2 linked regions of the Arabidopsis thaliana genome follow. The protein of the gene in region 1 interacts with the protein of each later gene in a pairwise test. Each region holds a gene or a part of one and is shown in the gene's direction. Other genes may lie near its edges. The genes, in order: AT5G39790 and AT3G60150.

The links.
Region 2: the proteins of AT5G39790 (region 1) and AT3G60150 interact in a two-hybrid assay, tested with the Arabidopsis thaliana proteins (one large-scale study listed by BioGRID).

The regions. Positions count from the first base shown.
Region 1 is NC_003076.8:15,932,002-15,937,449, reverse strand, and holds AT5G39790 (PROTEIN TARGETING TO STARCH (PTST)), read left to right. Parts: upstream 1-2,179; 5' UTR 2,180-2,328; coding exon 2,329-2,332; intron 2,333-2,526; coding exon 2,527-2,560; intron 2,561-2,688; coding exon 2,689-2,914; intron 2,915-3,019; coding exon 3,020-3,117; intron 3,118-3,571; coding exon 3,572-3,641; intron 3,642-3,868; coding exon 3,869-3,974; coding exon of another isoform or gene 3,975-4,069; coding exon 4,070-4,158; intron 4,159-4,252; coding exon 4,253-4,365; intron 4,366-4,463; coding exon 4,464-4,566; 3' UTR 4,567-4,893; downstream 4,894-5,448. Other genes in the region: AGL98 (AGAMOUS-like 98), read left to right, coding at 1-172; AT5G39800 (Mitochondrial ribosomal protein L27), read right to left, coding at 514-582, 868-932, 1,720-1,870; AT5G39785 (hypothetical protein (DUF1666)), read right to left, coding at 5,235-5,448. UniProt on the Arabidopsis thaliana protein: Involved in targeting GBSS1 to the starch granule.
Region 2 is NC_003074.8:22,219,795-22,224,064, forward strand, and holds AT3G60150 (NADH dehydrogenase ubiquinone 1 alpha subcomplex assembly factor-like protein (DUF498/DUF598)), read left to right. Parts: upstream 1-2,177; 5' UTR 2,178-2,357; coding exon 2,358-2,530; intron 2,531-2,628; coding exon 2,629-2,745; coding exon of another isoform or gene 2,746-2,827; exon of another isoform or gene 2,828-3,034; coding exon 3,035-3,069; exon of another isoform or gene 3,070-3,281; intron 3,282-3,282; coding exon 3,283-3,383; intron 3,384-3,469; coding exon 3,470-3,556; 3' UTR 3,557-3,718; downstream 3,719-4,270. Other genes in the region: DIN2 (Glycosyl hydrolase superfamily protein), read left to right, coding at 1-37, 312-420, 526-916; ABCC9 (multidrug resistance-associated protein 9), read right to left, coding at 4,035-4,162, 4,240-4,270.

The DNA.
Region 1 (5,448 bases):
CCAACATTCTTTTGTCTCAAACACACAAGATCACTCTGCTCCTGCGGTACAAGAATCTGTGAACAACAACTATGGGTTGATGCCGCATGTTCCTTGTGGTTATGATCAGAACCTGTTTACGAGTGATATTACCAACAACAACCTTCTTATCGACAACTCGATGTTTCTCTGATAACAAAGCTCATTCAAGAGAGTGTGAGACTGTTTTTTCATCTTCTCGTAAGAATTTTAATATGTTGTTGATGTTTATTTTGCTAAGTATTGCATAACGCATAATGTTTTCTTGTATCAAGCTATTTTACTATGTGAACATCCAATTTATCAAGTGAATATATATTCCACTGCATAAACATGTTACCAATTACTTTGCATATCGTTTCGTGAAAATATCAAACCAAATCTCCCATTTTAAGAATAGCACATAAGGATTACGGACAATAGAAGAACATAATCATAACTTAAAGCTTTATGAAGAAGACTTAAAAACATATATATCTTCTGACTGACTATTTTTCACTTGGAAGCTTCAGTTGACTCGTTTGTGTTGACTTGTATCGGGCATTGAGATACATATGGTTTCAGCTGTAAAATCCAAATAGATATACATCAGCAGAGCAGCTAAATCACACAACAAAGGTTAATGTAATTAAGTAAGCATTCCCATTTCAGGTCCCTAACTCAAAAACCTTACAACAAGAACAAACCAAGATAATTATCAGGATGAACCTAAGGAGATTCTACCAACAAGACTTGTAAGAAGATTTCTCACTAATGTTTGGTTCTCAAGTTTCAATTAAGATGCAAGGTACATACTAGAAGTATCAAAGATAAAAGGAACATAAGAGTTTAGAGGGTGAAATGAAAAACCTTAAAGCCGGTGAGATCAGGGACTACGTAATTCGGCAACTTATCTGGCTGCACAACATATCCTCCTGCAAAAACACCATGTCATAAAACTTAGGTAAAGATAAAATGAAGTCTCGAAAACAAATGCAAAATACATATACAATATGATGATCAGTTTTTTTTGCCAAAATGAAGTCTAGAAACAAATACAAAAACAGTATACTACACATGTACAATTCGAGTTAAGCTACCACATTTATTTGAGTGGAAAGCTAACTTCTTTAACTCAATTTTGGCAATTATGAATCTAGTAACACATGCAACCGATGATCAGTTCTTTGCCAAAATAGAGTTAAAGTTGTTAGCTTTCCTCCTAAACAACAATCTGGTATCTAAAGCTTTGCCTTAGATTTCATATATCTAATAAAAACACTCAATTATCAAAAACATTATGATGATCATCAATTGAGTTAAAGTTGTTAGCTTTCCCACCAAAAGAATCTGATATCGTAAGGCATGAAAACTAAACTGATAAAAGCTCTGCCTTAGGTTACATATATCTAATTCAAAACCAAGAACAACAAGATTCAATCACCAACTAACTAAACAAGTGTTAGATAGAAATGGATTGCAGCATGACAAGTGAAAACCAAACCAATAGTTGCAGTTTCAGTGAACCTTTCCTTGTTAGTAGTTTTGCCACAATTGAGTTAAAGTTGTTAGCTTTCCACTCAAAGAATCAATCTTAAGCCATGTAAATTCCTAACAATTAGTTCAAACAACAAATAACACAAGATTGCAATTATCAACTAAACTATAACAAGTGTTAGATAGAAATGAACTGATTCTCAAAATTAGGATGAAAGTTGGAACCTTTTCTCGTGTGGAAACCAGTAGGTTTGCAGTTTTTGCCCTTGTAAAAGTCTCTTGGAGCTCTTTTGGGAGAGAGAATGTCAAGAGAAGAAGATCTCTTTCTTCTGAATGATCTTCCAATCCCCATTAACAATCCTCCTATCGTCGTCATTCTCCACCAAATCTATCAATCTCAATCGATGGAATAACGGATCTATATCAACTATTGAGAAAAAAATACGGAGCTTGAGAAGAGAAGAGTGTGAAAATCTCAGAGAGGCCAAAAAATAGGGGGTTTGTTTAAGTGAGGTTAAAGGTTGAAGACAGTAAACGGTGTCGTTTGTTTTGGTGGAATTTGGAAAATTGTTTGTTTTCAGGAAAAATGTGACTCTTTGAAACTATAGGGACCATATTTGAAAATTAGTTCTTAGATTTACGCACGTGTTTTGTAGCCATTGATAAGAAAAACAAATTAGATTTTTTATTTTTGGTTCTGGGGTTTATCAGTGTTTCCAGCTTCTTCTTCTTCTTCACAGCTTTCTCGATATTTTTGAGAGTTTTTAACCAAATTAGACATTTTTAATCAATTTTTTTTTGTGTTGAGCAAGACGAAAAGAGTCTAATCCAATCATGGGTAAGTCGAAAAATCATTCCTTTTTTTAATTTTTTTTGGTTCACATTTCTGTTGAATTCAAGTTCTATAAAAGAACCCTAATGTTTAATTTAGGTATATATGTAAGATAAGTAGCATTTTGATTTATGTGAGACATTACTGAATTTTGATGATACAAGTTGAAGTTTTTAATTTTGTGAGTCTTTCTGATGCAGGATGTGTACCCAGAATTGAATTTGGTTGTTCAAGGTACAAAATTTCATATCTTTTTCTTATTCTAATTCACATTTTTGCTGATGTGAAACCAAACTTGTTATGATTCATCATTATAGTATTTTAAGTTTCTATTAGTTGAAGTGATTCTTCTTCTTCAACAGCCAAAGCCTTACTCTTTCATGGAACTTAAGAGCATGGAATTTGTGTAGATTGAACACAATCTCCCATTTCCAGAAACTTCCTTATCCTTTGGTAGCTTCTACTCGAAAACATTACAAGAACAGTTTGCTTTTGAAGAGATTTTTAGTTGGTGTTGGCACTGAGGAATCATCACTGTCAGAAGATTTACTAGATGAATCTCTTTCTCGACCTCTCACTAGTGATGAGGTTAAGCTTTATCTTCTTCTCCTGTTTATCTAAGCGTATGTGTTCTCAGATGATAAAGAAACTATGTTCTGTACCAACTAACAAACTCTCCATTTGGTTCTGTAGTTGAAGTCACTGCTCATTGATACAGAGAGATCAAAGCTTGTTAAAAAATTGAGTGAAGCTAATCAACAGAATCGGTTCCTCAAGCGTCAGGTGCTTGTGTTATATTTATACACTTACTTTAGTACCTCTATCTGTCCATTCTCTTAGATGATTTGAGAAACCTGCAACCTTATATCCTATTCTATTTAAGAAATTTAGTGTCTATCAGATTTTATATTATCACACTCTTGGAAAAATACTGAAAAACCTCCAAGGTTTAAGGGAGTTACATGTCTGTGATGTCACAGAAACATTTTCCTTCACTTCTCTTCTTTTTCTGTAAACCGGCATTGTATCAAATTGGAAGATGATGATGAATCATTTGCATACTTAAATACACTTTCCACTGTTCTTCATCTGTGTGTTTGATGAATCTTGTTTGAGATTTAATCCTCAATACTTATATTCTTGATGCTATTATACATCATCTTTTTTCTTTGTAAACAGACATCGTATCAAGGGACAAAACGAGTTATTTGACTTGTTTGTTGACTACTTGAACTCTTTTTGCAGCTTTAAAACACAGGAACATGAGATAACTAACATCAAAACTGAGCTTGCACTTATGGAGCTCGAAGTTCAGGTCTTTATTTCTACTTTTGATTTTTCAATGTCACGGTCTCACTATCTCATTGCCTTAAGCTGATTTGGTTTAGTTGTCATTATCCCATGTCTACTGCCAATCAAATACATATTTTTGTTGGTTATAATATTGGGAAATATTTAGCTTCAGATTTTTGTATGCACAAGCACATATGTATAGTTTCTTTAGTAGAAATGTTTCATGATATCACTTTCTGGAGGAAATAGGCTCTGGTGAAACTGGCGGAAGAAATAGCAAACCTTGGTATCCCACAAGGTTCTAGAAAAATCAGTGGAAAGTACATTCAATCGCACCTTCTCTCTCGTTTAGACGGTTCTTCTCATCCCCTCTTGGTTTCATCATTATTTAGGCGCTCATCAAATCCCTGGAATGATATACTAATTTTTTATTTTTTTCTCCCACTAAAGCTGTTCAAAAAAAGATGAAAGAACAAATAAAAGGTGTCGAGGCTGCACAGTCAAAGGAGGTTCATGTGTTCTGGATTGGCATGGCAGAGGTAGTGTAATAATCTCACATTATGCATTTTAACATTCTAAGCTTAATATATTATCCTCAAAATTAATCTCATTTGTTGATTATCTTCACATAAGAGTGTACAAGTAATGGGATCGTTCGATGGATGGAGCCAACGTGAGGATCTATCGCCTGAGTACTCAGCTTTATTCACCAAATTCTCCACAACGTTATTCCTTCGTCCCGGGCGGTACTATTTAAATTTTATTCTACTCTTATTCTTTTGCATTCAACATCAACTTTTAATGTTTGAAATTATTCGTGTTTTCAATCTCTTGTGAAATTTAGGTACGAGATGAAGTTCTTAGTGGATGGAGAATGGCAGATCTCACCCGAGTTTCCTACTTCAGGAGAAGGATTGATGGAGAACAATGTTTTAGTGGTGGAATAGCCACTCATCTTTCTGCATTACACCCGTAAACATTTAAGATTGGTGTGGATGAGATTGTAGACAATAGAATCTGAGTATTAGATACAAGGAATAGTATAATAGGTGGCAGGAGTCATTTGGATTTCTTATCTTTTGTTCACACAAAATCCAATCAATTTTTCCCATCTCTCAAAAGTTCTCTTGGTTTTGATTTCGTTTCATTGTTGTTTTGGCATTAGCTTTGAATCCATAGAGAGAAGATAGGTAGGTTCCATGTACATCAGAAATTTCTTGGTTTGTAAGAAAGAGATATTGGAAACAGAAGAATGAAGAAGAGTTTAGAAATAATGTACTAAACCAGAACTAGTGGTTTCAGGTTATCCCGGAAAACGAGTGTGTGAATCTATAGAGACTTTATTATCAGTAGACTCTGGTCCATTCAGTATATTCCGGTCAAGAGACATTTAAATGAACTAGGGAGATAACCGGGTTTTGATTAACATTTTGGAATTAACCAATTTGGTTCAGTTGTGGACCACATCCAACCCTAGTGAAAATCAATAAAAGTCATCAAGTGTAATAGCCAAAAATTGATGGACTTTTTATGAGTCTTACTTAACAATAATATGAGGCCAAAATTTGTATTTTCATTATTACTCCAATGTACAAATTTGTCAATATCAAAAATCTCAACAAGGGAAAAGACAAAAGGAAGGATCTAAATGTAACCTTCTATTTACGAAGTTAATCTTAGTCAACTTATTGTGACACCAAACCAAATGGTCCCTAGTCAATTTAGACATATTCAAGACTCTTGTCACAAGTTTCATGTCTACTTGTGAGAAGAAGTGAAGTACTTGATCTTCTGTCGAATCTTCTTCCTTGTGCTTTTGGAATCTTCTT
Region 2 (4,270 bases), on another chromosome or scaffold:
AGATACAATAACATGCCAGTCTACATCAAAGAAAATGGTCAGAAACTCTTTCCTTTTCTTTTTTTTGCTAAAGCAGAAAGTTTTTTTTTGTTAACTAGAAATTCAGAAAACTTTTTAGTACGTAGTTATTTAACTAAAGATTTTTTTATTTTTTTATTTTTTAACTCTACCACACATTAATAATATCCTAGCAGTGAATTGAAACTGAAGTTTGATTTAAATATATTTCCCTAACCAGTTCAACAAACTGATTTAAAAAAAAAAAAAAATGGTGTGACTATTAATAATTTACGTTGATTACTGAATTACAGGAATTAATGACAACGACGACGGTACAAAACCAAGAGAAGAAATTGTGAAGGACACATTTAGGATTGAATACCATAAGACACATTTCGAAGAACTTCACAAAGCTATAGTGTTAGTTCTTGATCTGTTTCTGGTTTAGTCTCTGATCTTTCTGACAATATTTAATCAAATTCGGTCGAGTTTTTTTTAACTAATAAATTTATGATATGTTTATAGGGAAGATGGGTGTGACGTAAGAGGATATTACGCATGGTCATTGATGGACAATTTTGAATGGGAGCATGGATACACTGCAAGATTTGGTCTATACTATGTTGATTTTGTCAATGGTCTCAAACGTTATCCAAAAGATTCGGTCAAATGGTTTAAGCGGTTCCTTAAGAAATCGGTCGTCGGAGAGAGTAACAAAGAGGAGGTAGAGGAGATGTCACGCGCGGAAGGGAATAAGACTTTTAAGGGTTTCGAAGAATCGGCGGGTTTCTTTGCATCTTTCATGGCAATGAACCAATCGAGGAGAGATGAGGAGAATAATCGTTGCTCCTTTGATTTTCCTCATACTCATTTTGGTGTTTTGCAAGGCATAGAGAACCCATCTTCATTTTATTGATTTCAAATCCCTTATGTTTTTAAATTCCTTATGGTTGGACATGTAGTTAATTAGAATTTAGCTCATGTTAATATATGAACATTTTCATGGTAATATTTTCTTCTTGGAATCTAATGGGTGGCATACTGGCATGATGGGTTCTGGCTTTGTGTGACAATATACATATATTATTTTAAAGCTGTTAATTAATCCGACGCTTCAAATGAGTTCAACAGCCAATTAAAAAATTTCATAATATAAACAATATTATATATCGTTAATCAACATATATATGATTTTTTTTTTTTAAACTAAGTTTATATAAATGTTTATTCGCGGCAAGGCGATGTATATTATAAACTATTCTTAAACTGTTATCTCATGGTTATTTGTTATTTCTTACAACAATATTTTACTTCTTTAACTGTTTTTTTTCTTTTTCTACAGTTTATAATAATATTGGATGAGGATCACCTTCTTTGACATCGTTAACAAATTGTTGATCGCACCACAATCTCTTTCATCACGTCACCAAAAATATGCTGGATCTTTATCTGACAAGTGTCAAATTGTGGCTTTCTTAAACATTTTAGCAGCCAAAAACGACACAATTACATACAGTACCCAGTCAGAGATCAAAACTTGTGCTAGCTTTCTTCTTCGTCAGCAACACTTATCGCTGGCATAAAACATTGGAGCAAAGTCAAAAACGTAACAACCGGTCCGATGTAAAATAAAACTACTATAGTTACACCAGAAAATATCCGAAGCTTATATATAGTTTTCAGGAGATTTTTGTTATCTTTGGTGAAAATAGAGTCAAACTCGGTGTCGCTCCATTTCTCGAAGCAGACTGGTCCCTGAGTCGTGGTGAAGTGTCTCTCGTTCTAAGATGTGGACTCCAGTTTTGTTTTTCTTCTTTTCACTGTAGACCTAGATTGAAGAAAATTAAAAAAAACTCATAACGTTTGGCTTTTGCGTTTTTGTTATTGAAAGATGAATATATTCATTTATATTTTTTATCCCGTAAGATTGCCTTCTGATTTGACGTCATTAATATGAAAAATCTAAACCAAAACAAACCGAATAGTTAAAAATCGATTTAAAATTATGAAATGGTTTTGCATTAGTCAAATTAAACGGTTTTACATTCCTTAAAATTTAGTATCAAACCAATCTACTGTATACATTCGGTTTTAAATTGGTAAACAGAAAATAAATAAAAAACTCTTAACCGAAACGTAAACGGAATAATCAATCTGTTTAGTAAGTAGTGTATCTGACTTACCAAAAAAAGAAAGAAGTAAGTAGTGTATCGGAATGGTTGCAATTAAATAGTGCAAACCGATTTGGATCATTGGTTTCTGGTTAGAAACCGAAACCAATAAACCGCTTTGGTTCAAGAGTCTTCCCTTGGGAACAGTTTAGACTTGAGAGCGCGGAGAAGTTGGAGACGGTGAAGATGGCAGTGAGACAAAAAGCAATGGCGACGTTGCCGAAACTGATTCAAAGCATGAGAAACGAAGTTACGAAGCAGCCCAGTCTTGTCTTACCATCTCTCAGAAGAGCTTTCTCTCTCTACGATCAGATCAATCTCATCGATAACGTTCCTGAGGATCAGCTCCGATTTCAGGAGTATTCATCTCTCTCAGTCATGTTCCTAATTTGACTATGTAGCAAGGGAATTTGGATTTTCGGGTATGAAATGAATCAATTAATGGTGCTTTTTGCAGGTTTGATGAGACGAGTTTCACTGTGAATGGGGTTAAATACGAAGGAAGCTTGCTCTGTGTTGGGAATTTGCTAATGTCATGGAGCCCTCGTTACTTCTCCGACATCACAACGGATAGGTACCAGTACCACCTTCTCCCTTCTCTTCAGCTTACTTATACAGGACTAGAGCTAGAGTTAAGAGATTGCGTAAAGTTATAATCTTTTCATTGTTCATGACCCTCTCTAATGAATGTTTAGTTAAGTCCTTTTCAGCGAAAGTTGAAGTCTGTCTAGTGTGGCCTCTCTTGTACGTACTAGTATCTGTTTGCTGTGTTTGATCTAACTTTGTAATATCTATCTACTCTTTCTACTTTGAAGTTAATGTGTCATTGCTAAACACTTTACATGTCTAATTCATGGATGCAGCTTGTCAATCTTCCAGACGGTTCGACCAATTCCAGGTACTATACATTTTAGCATTTTGTAAGTTGATTTCTTCCACATTCCTTATACAATAGTCTTTGTTCCAGGATCGTTGGAAACTGTATGATACGTTTGCGTACGCCATATTTTTAGTGGCTAAAAAGTAAAAACCTTTTGCACATATTGAAGTGTATCATCAGTGGTTTTTGACTCTCCTTTTTCTGTTTTTTTCTTTTCAAAACAATCTCTAGAGCTCTTGATTGTCGGGTGTGGAAGATACAACCACCCACTGAATCCCCAAGTCCGTCAGTTCGTAAAGTCAATCGGCATGAAGCTAGAAACTGTTGATTCTGTATGTCCTTTGTTCTATTCAAGTATTTGTTCTGTTGGTTTGGAGTATTTTTCTGTGCTTATTGATTAACGCTCTGATCTATCCAGAGAAATGCTGCATCAACTTACAACATACTCAATGAGGAAGGCAGGATCGTGGCTGCTGCATTGCTTCCTTATGGAGTTACATCGTAAGAAACTCAACACCTCTGGAATACTGTAGAACAAACTTCGAACAGCTTGACTCGATCTTTATAGTTGAAACACCAACATGGTCTTCTTGTCTACTGTAAATGATATATTTCACTCTATTTGTAAAACTTTTGCAAAAAAATCGAAATTTACAGGATTACCACCTTGTTACGTAGCTTTAATTTGATTGAGCTTTATCTGAAAAAATAGAAGATATAGATTCCTGCTTTATTCCATTGGTTACATGGATAGTTCTCCAAGAACACACTGAAAACTCAGTATAGAACCTAAAACACAAGTACTGATTAAAATGTTGAACTGAATTTTCTTCGATGCGCCATGCTTCTAACCATGGTGCTCTCTCCATTTCTATGTTCAACTTATGTAGTACTAAATAACTAGTTAGACTTTCAACTTAAGCTTAACTGTGGAATTCATATTTCGTTTTCTCTGCAAAAGATCATCCATCTTTTAGTGGTGTTTAGCTGAGAAGATCATTCGAGCCGGCAAAGTGATTAGATCTCAGCGAATACTCTTTTATGAGTTTGGAGAAGAAAGAATCTTCTCTCTGTAGCAGTTTGGCAGGTGAATCAAACTCTGCGATTCGTCCTGCTCATAGAAAAGTGACTTAGACCTCATAATTATGTGTGTGAATGTATATGAAAACACATGTATATTGTTCTTACCATCACTCAGAACCAGAACAAGATCACTCTC